Linked DNA regions of Macaca mulatta. The protein of the gene in region 2 binds, or shares a complex with, the protein of the main gene of each other region. Links are inferred from orthologs where the notes say so. Each region holds a gene or a part of one and is shown on either strand. Other genes may lie near its edges.

Evidence for each region.
Region 1: VTI1B (region 2) and BET1L share a complex: the UniProt entries of both Homo sapiens proteins name them as parts of the SNARE complex. The link is inferred for Macaca mulatta from reciprocal best matches to the Homo sapiens genes VTI1B and BET1L.
Region 3: VTI1B (region 2) and STX5 share a complex: the UniProt entries of both Homo sapiens proteins name them as parts of the SNARE complex. The link is inferred for Macaca mulatta from reciprocal best matches to the Homo sapiens genes VTI1B and STX5.
Region 4: VTI1B (region 2) and BNIP1 share a complex: the UniProt entries of both Homo sapiens proteins name them as parts of the SNARE complex. The link is inferred for Macaca mulatta from reciprocal best matches to the Homo sapiens genes VTI1B and BNIP1.

Annotation. Positions count from the first base shown.
Region 1 is NC_133419.1:81,253-85,280, reverse strand, and holds BET1L (BET1-like protein), read left to right. Parts: upstream 1-1,221; 5' UTR 1,222-1,306; coding exon 1,307-1,325; intron 1,326-2,571; coding exon 2,572-2,663; intron 2,664-2,946; coding exon 2,947-3,003; intron 3,004-3,145; coding exon 3,146-3,313; 3' UTR 3,314-3,938; downstream 3,939-4,028. UniProt on the Homo sapiens protein: Vesicle SNARE required for targeting and fusion of retrograde transport vesicles with the Golgi complex. Required for the integrity of the Golgi complex.
Region 2 is NC_133412.1:140,831,191-140,834,701, forward strand, and holds part of VTI1B (vesicle transport through interaction with t-SNAREs homolog 1B), read right to left. Parts: intron 2,196-3,511; coding exon 2,022-2,195; intron 1-2,021. UniProt on the Homo sapiens protein: V-SNARE that mediates vesicle transport pathways through interactions with t-SNAREs on the target membrane. These interactions are proposed to mediate aspects of the specificity of vesicle trafficking and to promote fusion of the lipid bilayers.
Region 3 is NC_133419.1:11,223,192-11,227,168, forward strand, and holds the start of STX5 (syntaxin-5), read left to right. Parts: upstream 1-1,170; 5' UTR 1,171-1,303; intron 1,304-1,750; exon of another isoform or gene 1,751-1,899; intron 1,900-1,995; 5' UTR 1,996-2,014; coding exon 2,015-2,239; intron 2,240-2,732; exon of another isoform or gene 2,733-2,832; coding exon of another isoform or gene 2,833-2,895; intron 2,896-3,977. Other genes in the region: WDR74 (WD repeat-containing protein 74), read left to right, coding at 57-236; TEX54 (testis-expressed protein 54), read left to right, coding at 379-885. UniProt on the Homo sapiens protein: Mediates endoplasmic reticulum to Golgi transport.
Region 4 is NC_133411.1:182,025,783-182,029,908, reverse strand, and holds the start of BNIP1 (vesicle transport protein SEC20), read right to left. Parts: upstream 2,808-4,126; 5' UTR 2,792-2,807; coding exon 2,708-2,791; intron 446-2,707; coding exon 353-445; intron 1-352. UniProt on the Homo sapiens protein: As part of a SNARE complex may be involved in endoplasmic reticulum membranes fusion and be required for the maintenance of endoplasmic reticulum organization. Also plays a role in apoptosis.

The sequences.
Region 1 (4,028 bases), on a different chromosome or scaffold from region 2:
CGGACTGATCCCCCTCCTTGTGACCGGGGCTTCTTGGGCCGGAATTTCCAACAGGAAAGGATCTCAGCCCCCACCGCGCCCTGCCACACACACAGTGACGCCCCTCGAGCTCCACAGAACCGATGGGATGTAGACGGGAAAGCCGAAGTGGAAAGGACTTTTCAGTCCCGGGCCATTGGGTTCGTTAGGCGTTTGCTGGGGAATGCAGGCGAACGGGACTCCCAGGCCCCTGCCTTTGTGGAGCTTATGTTCCAGAGGGGAAGGCAGACAAGGAAAAACAAAAGGACATGAGGCGGTCACAGGGCTGTGCTTCAAAAGAAGCAAAAGGTGACTGCTGGGCTGCAAGGGCTGTGAGGAAGTGGTGTTTTTGCTAACACTGGACGATGGGAAGCGAGCTGGGAAAAGACTGGAGGAGCCACTCCAGGCAGAAGGAGCAGCACTTGCAAAGGTGGAAGGGCCGTGAGGGGCCGAGAGAAAGGGGAGCAACGCAGTCTGGCCTGGACTCAGTTCCCTCTTGACAAGCAAAGATCCTGCGTGTCCGTTTCAGTGGCCATCAGGAGGATTCAGTGACGCACAGGAAGCGCGGTCCACTGGCTCTTGTAACAAGTGCCCGGGAGCAAAGGCGTCTACGGCCCCCACTCCCCGTGCCGCCTCCCAGTCTCTTTCCCTGCTTCACTTTCCTGTAGCGCTTTCCGCACACCTGTATTCGACGCGGCGCGCACTCGCAGGCACTAGCGAGGCGCCGATCTCCACTTGACAGAGGAGGCACCCTTGCCCCCTCCACACCCAGGGCTCCTCGCGGGCTTCTGCCCGAGGGGCCTACTCCTCCCTCATGACCCGCCTGTGAATCCTTCCTAACCGTTAGGACCTAACGCATGGCAGCGTCTTTCCACCACCATCGTCTTGGCACTGAGCAAGCAAACGGCCCCGCCCCGCCCCACGTTCACAGGAACAACAAACAAACGTCACATCCGCGGTGCTGCTGTAATCCCAGCACCTTGGGAGCCCGGCAGGCGGGGGCTGCAGTGAGCTGAGATCGCGCCACTGCCTGGGCGACAGTGCTGAAAATAAGTCACAGCGACGCCCATCGCTTCCGCGACCCCGCGGTTCCCCACCCTCGGGCCTAAGCCGGAAATCAGCGAGCCCGACGCGGAAGCGGCTGGGCCATCTAGGGGCGTGGTTGGCGCGGAGGCGGGGCCATCGCTGGCGGGGGGCGGGGCCGGAAGCCCGTTCCCCGTGACTGCGCCACGTCTGAGGCGGCTGTGGCCGCGTCGGTGTTGGCGTCGAGGAGCCGGGGCAGGGCACGATGGCGGACTGGGCTCGGGGTGAGCGCGGGAGAGCGGAGCCGTTGGGGGCAGGGCCGGGCCGGAACCGACGCCGCTGCCTGTAGAGCCGCGTGCGCCTGCCTCTGGCCTCGGCGGGGAGGACCCTGTCAGGGGGGCGGATTCGGATCCTTCCGGGTCCCAGCAGGGCCGGGTTTCGGCCAGCACTGCCGCTAGGAAGGACGGCGGGCGGGGCGGCCCAGCAGCTCCAGCGAGGGGTCGCGCAGCTGCGGGGTCCCCCCACTCCCCGCCGCTCCCTGTGAGATCGTTTTGCATGGGTTCAGGGTGAGCGGGAGTCTCGGCATTCGACAGGTCCCGAGGCCAGGCCTTCGGAGTAGGCTGTGCTCCGCTGGTGTCCAGGCAGGCCTCTGCTAACTAACTTGGGCCTCGGTGGCCCCATTTCCCCTCCTGGAGCCCGTGTTCTTCTCTGCAAAGTGGGATATTGATGCCTGTCTGAGTTATGATGAGTAAAGGAATTAATGAACAGGAAGTGGTTGGAAGGACGCTGGCATCCCTTCCTTAACGTTGAAGCTAGGGAGAAGGTGGTTCTCACCCACCTGAGGTGACAGAAATTCCTTATCACCTGGCCCAGCCTGTCACAGGCCGGGCCTCTGCAAGCGCTGTGCTCTGGGTGTTGCAGGAAGCCCTGTGTGGGATGCAGACCAGGGATCACGCTCCTGGTCGACCTCAGCTCCCATCTCGCGGAATTGGGAACTTTGCTCAGCTGTTTTCTGTGCGGTAAAGGGCCTTCCCAATGTTCTGTCCTGGTTCCTTGCCACCTCTTCAGGACCCAGCTCAAAGGTCGTCCCTGCAGGAGCCTTTCTGCTGCCCTGCTGGGTACTTTTCCCAAGTCTTTCCTATGCTCTTAGCAGAGTTTACTCTTTTTCTATAAGAATGGGCTCCACATACACAGATGGCGACCTCCCTGGATGCAAGTGTCACATCTTATTAACATCCCAGAGCTGGGCCCAGTTTTTGCTACACAGTCTCAGAAGGTGCTGGTTGGACTGAACCCACTGTGGGTGCTGGCCCATCCCCACCTGGATGTGTACACAGGACACGTGTTCACATGACAGGCCCTTGCACACATCGTCCTTTATGCAGTCTCTCTCACATGTGCAAGATTCACCTGCTGGAACCTAGGTTAGGTCCCCTAGATTTCTGACTCACCCAGTTGTGGTTGGAGTGAGAGGGGTCAGAGGCCTCGCTCCCCGATGGATGCAATCACTCAGCCCCTCTCTTTTCTCAGCTCAGAGCCCGGGCGCTGTGGAAGAGATTCTAGACCGGGAGAACAAGCGAATGGCCGACAGCCTGGCCTCCAAAGTCACCAGGCTCAAATCGGTCAGTGGTGGTCTGTCCTCTTACCTCCACCTGGTGCCCTTGGGGAATGGGGATCAGAGGGAAGGTAGAGGGCCCAGAGGAGTTTCAGGCAGTTTGCCGTCCTCCTCGTTCGATTCGTGGCTGTGCTCACCTGCATGAGGCCCCAGCTGACACCTGGACCTTCCTGCTGCTGCCCCACTGTGTCTGGCAGAGTTGTTGGCAGGGTTTGTCTGGTCTGGGAAGGGTGAGTGCTGTATTATGTGTCTGCTCTGGCCCAACCCTGCCCTCTCTGTGTGCTGAACAGCTCGCCCTGGACATCGATAGGGATGCAGAGGATCAGAACCGGTACCTGGATGGCATGGTAAGGGCCCACGGTGTGCGCGAATCAGTGCCCTGCCCCCAGCACTACCTGCTACAGAGCTTGCAGTGTCTCCTTCAGCACTGGTGCGGGTGGGTGGTCAAATCACCACTTCTGTGTGATCTTGCCGGGATTCTTCCCTTAGGACTCGGATTTCACAAGCATGACCGGCCTGCTTACAGGGAGTGTGAAGCGCTTTTCCGCAATGGCAAGGTCCGGACGAGACAACCGGAAGCTTCTATGTGGCATGGCTGTGGGTCTGATTGTGGCCTTCTTCATCCTCTCCTACTTCTTGTCGAGGGCAAGGACGTGAGACAGTGGGAGCTGGTGTCTGTGGGTGCCAAGGGCAGCCATTGTCTTCCCTGCCTGGCATCTTGGGCTCCAGAGGACTTACCTGCAAAGTACTCCTTTGAAATTATAATCGTGGGCCAGGAATCCTTTCTGTGTGGCAGGAGGCTGCGGCTGCCTGTGACCTGATGAGCTCATGTTGGCTGGTCCCATGTGTGGAAGGGACTCTTTCGGGGAAACCAAGGCCCAGCCCCTCCCCCCTTCCCCAGATGCTAGAGACACAAGCAGAGCTGGGGCCGCAGCGTGTCTGGAGGAGCCAGGTCTGAGCAGAGCAACTGTTGAATCCCAGGCGTGGCCACCTGTGGCCTGCAGCCTTTCTCCCAGCTCTTGGGACGCTGACATCTGAAGGCTCCACGGTCGTGTCCTTGTCTGGATGAGGCCATGTCTGTGATCCAAGGTTCCTGGAACTGACACAGGAAGGGGCTGTGAACCCTAAGTGGGTGCTATCTCCTCCAACTGAGGCTTCTCAGCCTGGAGATGGCAGTTACTCCTGGCCATGGTTGCTGAGCACAGGAGACCAGTGCGGGCCACCCTGCTGTGAGTTCTCTGTGCCTACTCTCCAGTCCTGCGGATGAAGTGAGACCCCTGGGGAGAACGGGTTGTGGATGAAGGAGTGGACTGCAGCCTTGGCCTAGCCACTGGGTGGGATCCTTCTGGGTCCTGTGACTGTGTATCCAGGA
Region 2 (3,511 bases):
TTCCCATTCCCCAGTGGCCTTGGTAAGCTGACCTCTCAGCTCATTCCGTGGCTTTTATTTCTTTGAAACAGGGTCTCGCTCCGTCACTCAGGCTGGAGTGCAGTGCTGCAATCGCAGCTCACTACAGCCTTGACCTCCCAGGCTCAAGCAATACCCCCACCTGTCCCCAAGTAAGGTGGGATCACAGGTGCATGCCACCGTACCCTGCTACTTTTTCTGATTTTTAGTAGAGATGATATCTCACTATGTTGCCCAGGCTGGTTTCAAACTCCTAGGCTCAAGCCATCCTCCCACCTCAGCCTCCCAAAGTGCTAAAATTACAGGTGTGAGCCTGGCCTCCTGGGCTTTTAAATTCAACCAATCTACCTGGTATGTTCAAAAACCAAAACCCACACAATCTGAAAGCAAGTTACATTCTCCATAGCTTTCCTTGAATGTAGTACTTTATTGTGAATTTTCACTGAAGAGGGCAGGCACTACTCTGACTTAATGGAGAATTGTAGCTACTAAGAAAATCTACTCAAATCTTCACACTGAGCTAGTATTTTCCTGTCCAAATCTTGGCCACAGTATGTTTTTCAAATTGATTTGCCTTCTGCTATTAAGAATACAGCATTCAATTGGCAAATTGTACTAATTTAAAAATTCCAGCCGGGCACAGTGGCTCATGCCTGTAATCCTAGCGCTTTGGGAGGCCAAGGTGGAATGATTGCTCGAGCCCAGGAGTTCGAGAGCAACTTTGGCAACATAGTGAAACCCCGTTTTCACAAAAAATTAAAACAATTAGCCAGGCACAGTAGCACATGCCTGCAGTCCCAGCTACACATGAGGATCACTTGAGCCCAGGAGTTTGAAGCTACAGTAAGTTCTAATTGCACTGCTGCACTGCAGCTTGGGTGACAGAGCAAGACCCTGTCTCTAAAAAACTAAAAAATTCATACATAGGTTAACTCATTTATGGAAAGGAAAAAATAAATGAGTTATTTTTCTGAGGCTCTCAGAGTGACAGTAGACTAGAGGTCCCTGATATAGTCATCATTTGGTTTAAATATTTGTTTTCTTTCCACAATGATCCAGTTTACCTTACTGGATAATCCTTAGAGATTTTTTTTCCCTATTACTTTTTTTTTTTTTTTTTTTTTTTTACTTTTACTTAGATAATAGTAAAGGGTTATAGTCCAGGATTGAAGCATAATTTATAAATCTATAAACTGGTACTATTTTACGAAATCTGGAAAATAGCCTTGGCTCTAAATGACAGGGTATAAGTAGATGATGTTTTCATAAGAATAGCAGAATACTCTATTAGATGTGTGAAAAATTAAAATCTCAGATTGGAAGCTTTGAATCCTTAAGTGCCTTTTGACGTATTATTTCTCTTGCCAAAGAGAATACAGCCACTTTATCCTTATTAATTCCTGTAATCTTATAAGTGTAGAAATCAGGTTTCTTCCATCTTTTTTTCCCTTCACTGAAGCAAAAATTTCCAATGATGTCTAATTCTTAGGGGTAAAATTGCTTCTAAGGGAGATCTCTTGGCCAAGCAAACTAAAAATTGAGCAAAGCGGCCAGGCACAGTGGCTCATGCCTGTAATCCTAGCACTTTGGGAGGCCAGAGCGGATGGATCACCTGAGGTTAGGAGTTCGAGATCAGCCTGGCCAACATGGCGAAACCCCGTCTCTACTAAAAATACAAAAATTAGCTACGCGTGGTGGCACATGCCTGCAATCCCAGCTATTCAGGAGGCTGAGGCAAGAGAATCGCTTGAACCCAGGATGTGGCGGTTGCAGTGAGTGGAGATCACGCCACTGCACTCCAGTCTGGGTGACACAGTGAGACGCTATCTCAAAATAAATAAGTAATAAAAAAATTAATAAAAATTGAGAAAAGCATATGAACTTAAAAAAGACTATTCCCTGAATACAGAACTGCTGTAGCTTTTGGTCTTAGTATGGTTTCCAGGTGCAGTGGCCCCCTAATTTTCCCATACTTGCCCCTTTCCCTGTCTGCCCAGACTTACTCTACTCTTGGTGCGTTCTAACTGGTCTCGTTGTTCCCCCAGCTCTTCTATGATTTCTGAGCCAATTTGGTCGGTCTCCGTGGCAATCCGATGAGAGCGTTCAATACTTTGGGTGGCCCGGTTCAGGCTTTCAGTGCCTTGCAGAAGCATTGCCCTTTGAGACTGTAGCCGATTCTGAAAGGAGTATGGAAGAGAAATGTTAGACTTTTTCCATTATAAATTCATTGCCAGCATATTCCTCATGACCTTCCCCATGTTAGAAAGCATACAGTGAGCAATAATTTTCATTCCTTTTAAGACAGAACCAAAGAAGCTAATGATTCTTTTCAAGGTCACAGACTAAAGCAGAACCTGAAATGAATCAATAGGATCACAATACCCCCACTCCACTGTCTTTTACACTTACGTGAGGCAAGGAAAGATGGATTAAAAATACTGGAGCACTTTCCCTGTGTTTGTGATGAATCTGAACTGGTTCATGTGTCTCCTGGACTATCAACTTCTGAAAGGTGGCAGCCCAGATGTGGGAGCTACCTGATTAATGCATATAGCCTGTAACTTCGATAGTGCTATGAGCAAACCAACTAAACTCCGCAGCCCTAGAAAAAGGTTAATTCACTGAAGATTCCCACTTGACTGGTACTGAGAACTGAAGGACCATGAACAAGCTATTCTGTTCTTTGTTTTAAGCCTCCAGCACCTGGTATTTCCAGGTGGTCTCCCATCCAAGTACTAACCAGGCCTGACTCGCTTAGCTTCTGAGATCAGGCAGGTTCGGGGTGGTATTGCCTAGATGACTACAATTCTTCTTTTCAGCATCTAAAGAAATTTTGTAGAAGTCTGAGACACTACCACATTCTGGAAAAAACGTATGTGGTTACCCTCTTGGTGAGCCCCACAAAGAACTTCACCTAAGGTCAAACAAAAAGCCTTGAGGCTGCCACACTGGGGGTGATTTGGTCTCAGGGAAATTAGTATCTGGGGCTTGAGCAAGCTTCCCCATCTGCCCTAATTTCTCAACTGCCCTAATTTTCTAAATCCCCACCGAAGTTTTACCCCACCTGTAATCCTAAACACAGACAGCATGAAGACAAAAGTAGCCTTGTCAGGCCAGAATTAACAACCACTGACAGAAATGGAGGCAGCTCCAAGTTCTTAGCTGTTCAAAGCGCGCGTGCACACACACACACGCACGCGCATACACAGACTCAAAAGGAACCCAGCTCACAGAGGCCTATTACAGAGCAGGTGACCACTGGCAGGACCAAGAAGCCAAAAGATTGGCTCCCAGAGCAGAAGTAGCAAGAAGCATTTTCTTTTTTCCCTTTTTTTTTTTTTTTTTTTTTGAGACGGAGTCTCGCTCTGTCGCCCGGGCTAGAGTACAGTGGCACGATCTCAGCTCACTGCAGCCTCTGCCTCCTCGGTACAAGCAATTCTCCTGCCTCAGCCTCCCGAGTAGCTGGGATTACAGGCAGCTGCCAACACGCCCA
Region 3 (3,977 bases), on a different chromosome or scaffold from region 2:
GTGGGAGCTACCATGCCCAGTCCCCCTGACTCCTACACTTTCTTCCCACTCACCAGGATGAGCCCCAAGAGCCTCAAGAACCCAACAAGGTGCCCCTAGAAGACACAGAGACAGACGAACTTTGGGCATCCTTGGAGGCAGCTGCCAAGCGGAAGCTCTCGGATTTGGAGCAGACCCAAGGAGCTCTCCAAACCAGACGGAGAAAGAAGAAGCGGCCTGGGTCCACCAGCCCCTGACGCCCCTGACGCCCCTGTGCCTGCCCACTTTGTAAATAAACAGCTGAACATCCACCATGACCCTGAGCCTTTTGTGATGGGAGAAAGGAATGAGGGGTAGCTTGGGGTGGGGGCTCCCTGAGCTGGGGCGACGGGATATCTGATGTCACAAAAGCCGGGCCTGGAGGCAGGTAGGCTGGCGTGGGTGGCAGGGAGTCCGGGGCCCCGCGGGGCCATGGGCTGCTGCCAAGACAAGGACTTTGAGATGTCGGATGAGCAGTCCAAGGAGGCAGAGTCTGAGGCCGTCAGGGAAGATGGGACCAGAGGCACACACAGAGGGCCCAGGGAGTGTGAGAAGGGGCTTCCCGAGGGTAGGGGTGAGCTCAGAGGCCTCGTCGCCTCAGGCGCCGAAGGTATCGACTTGAACTCCCCGGACCATCGGAATCATAAGTCGAACGAAAGCCTTCTGATCACCGTGCTGTGGCGGCGACTATCCATGTTCAGTCGTCGGGGCTCCTCGCGGTCAAGCAAGAGACAATCAGACCAGATTAGGTCATCAATGTTCAGTGGTCGGGACTCCTTGCCGTCAAGCAAGAGGCAATCAGATCAGACTCGGAAACAGGAGCGTCCGATCCGAGAAGGCAACCAGGAGGAGCCGGAGAAGGGATGACCCCAGACCTGCTCTTAGTCCGCCCCAACCTCCAGAGAATAAAATTTCTAACGTGTACCTGCACCACCACTCTGGGAAACGGGCGCGGACACCGCCGGGCAGCTGGTTCTTTAAGGCTCCTCCCCGGAGGCGGGCCCAGCCCCCTGGGCTCCCGCTGTAGTACTCAGGGGCGGGGTCACGGCAGCGCCTTAGCCAATGGGAGGGGGGTCGCTCTTGCGTTTGGATGTGGGGCGTGTCTTTCGGGTCGCCTGGCTTGAAAATGCGTGGGACCGCCCCCTCGTCACCGGGGGTGGGGTTACGTGTAGGTGACGTGGCCGCTTCCAGTCTGGTCGGGTTTCGGCGGCCTCAGTGCCCAGGGAGGAGGCAGTGACGGCCGGGGAGATTGGTAGTGGCGGCGGCGACAGGCAGCAGAGGGGAGGTAAGACTTGCTCTAAGAGGGGGTCTGGCCACCGTGTCAGCTCTGGGGCAGTGGTTTTACAGGGGCGACGACTGGCAGGGGGAAGGGAACCAGGGGCAAGCAGGCAAGTCCTGCCGGCCCGGCTCCTGGTGAGCGAATTCCTTGCCGTCCAATCAGGAAAGCCTCTGTTGAGAGAGACGTCGGCATTAGCTAATGAGTGGTTGAAGTCTTCCAGAAGGCGGACCTTGGGCGGGGGGTGGGACTTCCTGTTTCAAATAAACACCCAGAGGTTTCCCCCTCCGCCCACCGAAGTGTGTCAGTCTTTGGAGGTCCGTCACCGGCCCCCCCCCGAGGGGCCGAAGGAAACCACGGAAACGAAGGGACTGGGTTAGGGCCCGGGGCAGTTACACGGGCCAGGCCGCAGTCTGAGGGCCACGGGACTTGGCTCTGGCCCTGTCTCTGCTTCAGGGCCCCCGGCCCGCGCTCTGGCCGCCGGAGCCAAGTTGGAAGAAGAGTCTGAAGCGGGTTCGACTTGGGACAGGGGAAAAGCAGAGCCCTTTCCGCTGCTGGCCCGCCCCAGGATCTGCGAGCGTCTTGGGCGCGAAAGTCCATGAGAAGTGCGGAAGGGGCTCGAGGATTTGTTGATTGGGGTGGGGCGGGGGAGTTTGGGGAAAGAAGCTGCCTGGGGAATGACACTCTCCCCTCCACAACAGTCCGAGGTTATGCGTCTCAATGATCCCGCGGAAACGCTACGGGTCTAAGAACACGGATCAGGGTGTCTACCTGGGTCTCTCAAAGACACAGGTCCTGTCCCCTGCACCTGCTGGCAGTAGCAGCAGCGACATCGCCCCTCTGCCCCCCCCAGTGGCCCTCGTCCCTCCCCCTCCCGACACCATGTCCTGCCGGGATCGGACCCAGGAGTTTCTGTCTGCCTGCAAGTCGCTGCAGACCCGTCAGGTAAGGACCTGGAGTGGAAAAGGCGAGGAGTGAGCCATACTCAAATCTAGGAAGGACTGTGCTCCACCACTGTTAACTGAAGTAATTCTTGGGGGTACCTGATGGAACTGATAGGCTTGGATGGGGCCAGTAGGGTCTGCTGTAAGCAACAGAGAAGAGGTCGGCTGGCTAACTAGAGGCAAGGACTTAGACCTTTTTTTAGGAGGAATCCCTTGGAGGGCAGGAGTGCTATTCTGGAGGGAGTACTTCAGAGAGTACTTGGCTGTAATATAATTGGTGTGAATAAGGAACAAGTTCTAGGAAGAGCCTTTAGCTGAGAAACACGCACCTTGAATTTTCCAATATATTTCTACCATAAATTTGCTCTGTAACCATGAGAAAATTAATCTAGTTACATCTTAGTTTTTATCTCTGTAACATTAAGGACATTTTCTAGATCAGTAATTTGTTGTTTTTGTTTTGTTTTGAGATCTGTTTTCAACTCTGTCAACAGGCTGGAGTGTAGTGGCGTGATGATAGCTCACTGCAGTCTTGAACTCTTAGACTCAAGGGATCCTCTTTCCACAGCCACCTGAGCAGCTGGGACTACATGGATGCACCACCCAGCTAATTTTAAAATTTTTTTCGTACAGGCAGTGTCTCACTATGTTGCCCAGGTTGGTCTGGACACAAACACCTGGCCCTAGACCAGTAATTTGTATCAAAATAACTTAGGGTTGGATGTGGTGGCTCGTACCTGTAATTCCAGCACTTTGGGAGGCCTAGGCCACAGGATCGCTTGAGGCCAGGAGTTAGAGACCAGCAGGGGCAATGAAGAAAGACCCTGTCTCTACAAGAAAAGAAAAAAAAAGCTGGACGTGGTAGCATGTGCCTGTAGTCCCACCTACTTAGAAGGCTGAGCGAGGCCCAGTCTCTTTCTCTTTTTTTTTTTTTTTATTTTAAGAAGGAATTTCACTCTTGTCGCCTAGACTGGAGTGCAGTGGTGCAATCTCAGCTCACTGCAACCGTCTCTTCCCGGGTTCAAGCGATTCTCCTGCCTCAGCTTCTGGAGTAGCTGGGATTACAGGTGCCCGTCACCGTGCCCGGCTAATTTTTGTATTTTTTTTTTAGTAGAGATGGGGTTTCACCATGTTGGTGGGGCCGATCTTGAACTCTTGACCTCAGGTGATCTGCCTTCCTCAGCCTCCCAAAGTGCTGGGATTACAGGCATAAGCCACTGCGCCCAGCCTCTCTCTCCTTTTTTGGAAACAGGGTCTCACTCTGTCACCAAAGCTGGAGTGCAGTGGTTCTATCTCGGCTCACTGCAACATCTGCCCTCCTGGGCTCAAGCAGCCCTCCTGCCTCCAGCTTCTCAGTAGCTGAGATTGTAGGCATGTGCTACCATGTCTGCCTAATTTTTGTTTTGTTAGTAGAGACGGGGTTTTACCATGTTGCCCAGACTGGTCTCGAACTTCTGTGCTCAAGTGATCCACCTTCTTCATCTTCTCAAAGTGCTGGGATTACAGGTGTCAGCCACTGCACTCAGCTCCTCTTAAAAAAAAAAAATTGGGAGTGCTTTCTAATTATTTATTTATTTAATTAATTAATTTTTTTTTTTTTTTTTGAGACGGAGTCTCGCTCTGTCGCCCAAGCTGGAGTGCAGTGGCCGGATCTCAGCTCACTGCAAGCTCCGCCGCCCGAGTTTACACCATTCTCCTGCCTCAGCCTCCCGAGTAGCTGGGACTACAGGCGCCTGCCA
Region 4 (4,126 bases), on a different chromosome or scaffold from region 2:
AAAAACAAAACCCAGGAGTGTGATGGATTGAGGTAGTGAACAAATGAATAGGGTAGAAAGAAGGTAGAGAAGAGAAAGTATTTGAAGTGGCCTCAGGGTTTCAAAAATTCCAAGGATAATGGTGTTCCTGCCATCCACTTGTTGACACAGCTGGCAGTGTTCTGCACGCAAAAGTTTCTCGTTTTTACCTGGACAGCAGGTTAGTACAGAGTCACCCTCACTGTCTTAAGTGTTTACTGCTCCCATCAGCTGGTGTTTGAAGAACCCAGACGGCTCTCAAGCAGAGGATACACCCAGGACTGAGCCCCCTTCATTGACAGATACTCAGCATCTCAGTTCTGAGAATACCCACCTGTATTCTGTGACGCAACTGTTGAAATTTCTCTTTTACTTTAGTGTTCAGTTCAGTAAGAGCACTTAAGGGTCCTGAACAATCACGGATATCCTAGGAGACATTGAACAGATGAAAGGCCTTTCTTAAGGCAATGAAATGAAATGACACCATCCATACAGTGAGAGAGTTGGTTTAGACCAACTAATATTAATGTACTGATACTGACTATAATTCATCCTGATCTTTGCTGTTTACCTCTGCAACACAAGCAAAAACATTATCATTGGCATTTTTCTCATTCCTCTTTAGATTAATGTTGAATTAATATAAAAGCCTAGAAAGAAACACAACTGCTTTGACCTAATTTTTAGTGCCTAAATTTTAACAAAACATTACCTGGCCAGTATGAAAAAGCTTAAAACAGCTTATATGCCCAACAAGAATGGACATGCGAAAGTAATACTATAACTTTAGAACCTTAGATCCTTTCAACTTGTAAGATGAGGATGTTTAAAGATCTGGCCTCATATGATGAGATTAACTTTTTCAGTGTGATTTTACAAACCGTCAGTGATATTTAGAGTGTTTATATAAACATGTTTAAGGGCAGATTTAGAATCTGTTGCTGGACATTCAGAATTACTGGTGCCAGTTTTCAGAGCAGGCTCTGGAGACAGACCATGTGGATTCGAATCCTGGCTGTAGCAACTTATTAGCTGTGTAAAGTTACCTGGAAAGTTATTTAAATTCTCTGTGTCTCAGTTTCCTCATCACAACCCTACTTACCTCAGAGAACATCATAGATTATGTGTGTATGTAAAGCACTTAGCAGAGCTGCTGGAACACAGTAAGGGTGCACTACATCCAGCTATAATCAATCTTTCTCATCAGCAATCACAAGAACCCAAATGTTAGAAAGAGTACAGAAGGGTGCCTAAGCAATTTAGATTATGTGAAAATGTGATTTCATTTGTATGAAACCTAAGTTTATTTTTCTATAACTGGCCCAGAAGTTTTGTAATGTATACATCAGAGAAGTGAAGTTCGAGAAGTTTTAAATATCTGCATCAAATTTCACTTTTTCTCTGGTTATTAATTTAATCACACTTCTTTGCACCATATTTGTTTATTCTGCATCTAATTTGGTTTATTCTGCATCTGGTTTATCTGGGGAGCCCTACTTTCCTGCACTTTTTGCCACCCCTCGTTACAAACTCTGAGTCTACATCTAATGTTTAGTGACTTTGTTGAAAATGATTTGCTTTAAAAACCAAGGTTTAGGCCGGGCGCAGTGGTTCACACCTGTAATCCCAGCACTTTGGGAGGCCGAGGCGGGCAAATCACGAAGTCAGGAGATCAAGACCATCCTGGCTAACACGGCGAAACCCCGTCTCTACTAAACAAAATACAAAAATGAGCTGGGCGTGGTGGCGGGCCCCTGTAGTCCCAGCTACTCGGGAGGCTGAGGCAGGAGAATGCCATGAAGCCGGGAGGCAGAGCTTGCAGTGAGTAGATCGCGCCACTGCGCTCCAGCCTGAGCGACAGAGCGAGACTCCGTCTCAAAAACAAACAAAAACAAAAAACAAAACAAAACAAAACAAAAAAACAAGGTTTAAAACTCTTGGTTTCTTTTTGCTAAACTCATGGAACCGTGTCTACATTCCTAATTCTTGTCTACGTCAACTCGTTTATTTTACCTCTACCCTTAAATGGCTTAAGGCGAAAACACCTCATTTCCTCTCTGTTCAAACGGGGTAACACTCTAAGGTGTTATTCCTAGGTTGACTTTCCCAGTCCAGGTCCCAGTTTTGCCATTGACCCAGGCCTGCCTTCTAACCTAGGCCTTGGCGCCGTATTCGATTTCCTCAAGCATAAAATCACAACTACGGTCCAGGTTACATTCGTTTCACCTGGTGCCTCCCGAGCCAGGTGCCCTTGGATGCCAGGGGAGCTGGCCAGCAGGGGGCGGGGCTAGCTGCCTACCGGGCGCTACCAGAGAATGGGGAAGCAGCGTCAGAGGGCGGGGCCAAGCAGGGTGGCAGGTAGGTTGTGAGGAGGTCAGGGGCGGAGCGACGACCAGGACTGCAAGTGGAAGTGGCAAAGCCGAGCCTCGAAGCAGTAGCTGGGTCAGGGGCGGAGAACAGTTGGGTGCTCTGGAGATGGGCGATCCGGCGGCACCCGGAAAAAGGATCAAGGCCAGCAGTCACGGGGACACAACCAAATGGGGACCAGGGCGGGTAGCCGGTCATGGGGCGGAGCCGGTGGCCTGGGAAACCAAGTGGGGAAAGTTCGGGAGTGACACTACCGAGCTCACAGACCAGCAGAGCTTGGGTTAGGGCTGCTGGAGCCTGGCAGGGGTCCCGGGATCAGTACCTGAATAAGCGCCTTCACCTCCAGGTCAAATTTGACAATCTCTTGGTTACAGATCCGGACGTGGACATCTTGGGGAGCCGCCATGTTGGGGACGCCGGTTACGGGCGGCGGCAGGGCCCAAGTTCAAACGCGTTTTCGCACCGCCTTCTCGCCCTCCCCGCCCAGTCTCGGGGCAGCGCCCCCTAGAGACCGGCGAAAATGGCAAGCTTGGGTCCCTGCCGCAGAGTTGGGACTTTCCCTGACACGTGTAGGGAAATCAGCCTCTCCTCTTGGTATGGCCTTAATACCATGGAGAGGAAGAGAAGAGGGAATATCAATAATGCTTCACAGTGGTCTCTTTCCATCTTCCTTCTGTCAGGCATTCTAATAACTATGTATTTTTTGCATAGAAAAAAAAGACTGGAAGAAAAGTATCAATTGAGATGTCTCTGGAAAGTACAAGTGACAATTTTTTGTTTCTTCAAACTTTCTTATATTTTTAATATTTTCTACAGTGAGTATAAATTGTGGAGTAAAAGAGAAAATGATAAATGTTATGTATTTTTTAAAGTATGGAGTTCAGTAGAGTCAGTAGAGTACTTCCTATCACTCCAACACATGATCTGAGGGATCTTTGTAAAACACGAAATTGATCAAGTCGCCTCCCTGTATGCAGCCCTTCTATGGCTTCTGGTGGTTCCCTTTTGTATACAACTGGATTTATTAAATCTACCTTGCTGGGGTAGTTTTGATGGATTTACGTAGTTTTGATGGATTTACGTAGTTTTGATGGAAATGTCAGAGGAAACCCTCAACAAATGGTGGCTCTTTTATTTTTGTTAGTAAATAATCCAAGTTTCTTAGCTGGTCCTCAAGGTCATCAGCCACCCCACCCTGCGCCCTTCCTGGATTGCTCAAGCTCTTTCTGGATGTGTAGCCTTAGAATGTGGTGTTCCCTCTCCCTGGAAAGCTTTTCCCCGACTCGACCCCACTCCATCTGCTTTTGTTCAGGTCACTTCAGCAAGAATAGATTGTGAGGACCTAAATGCTTAGGACCTGAATGTTCATCTCTCTTAATCCTCACAACCACCCTTGAAATTGCACTACACTAGTATCACACTTCAGGAGATGAGCTGAAAGTAGATTAAAATAACCACCAATCAACCCTGTCGCAAGATTACCTATCTTGAAAGTGGCACAGCCTCTACTGAAAGCCATCTTTTCCCCAAAAAATCAATATGGCTCCCACCTGTTGTAAGCAGGGCTCTGTGCTTGTCTGTGTTCCTACAGGCCTCTACACACCCTCTCGTAAGGTATTCATCACCCCACTGCACCTAATAGAGAGGCAGTGTATCCCAGGCTTGGCATCTGCCTGGGCTCAAATCCTGTCCACAGCACTGCATGCCTGTGCTTCAGTCTCCTCAGAGGCTAACTGGTGAT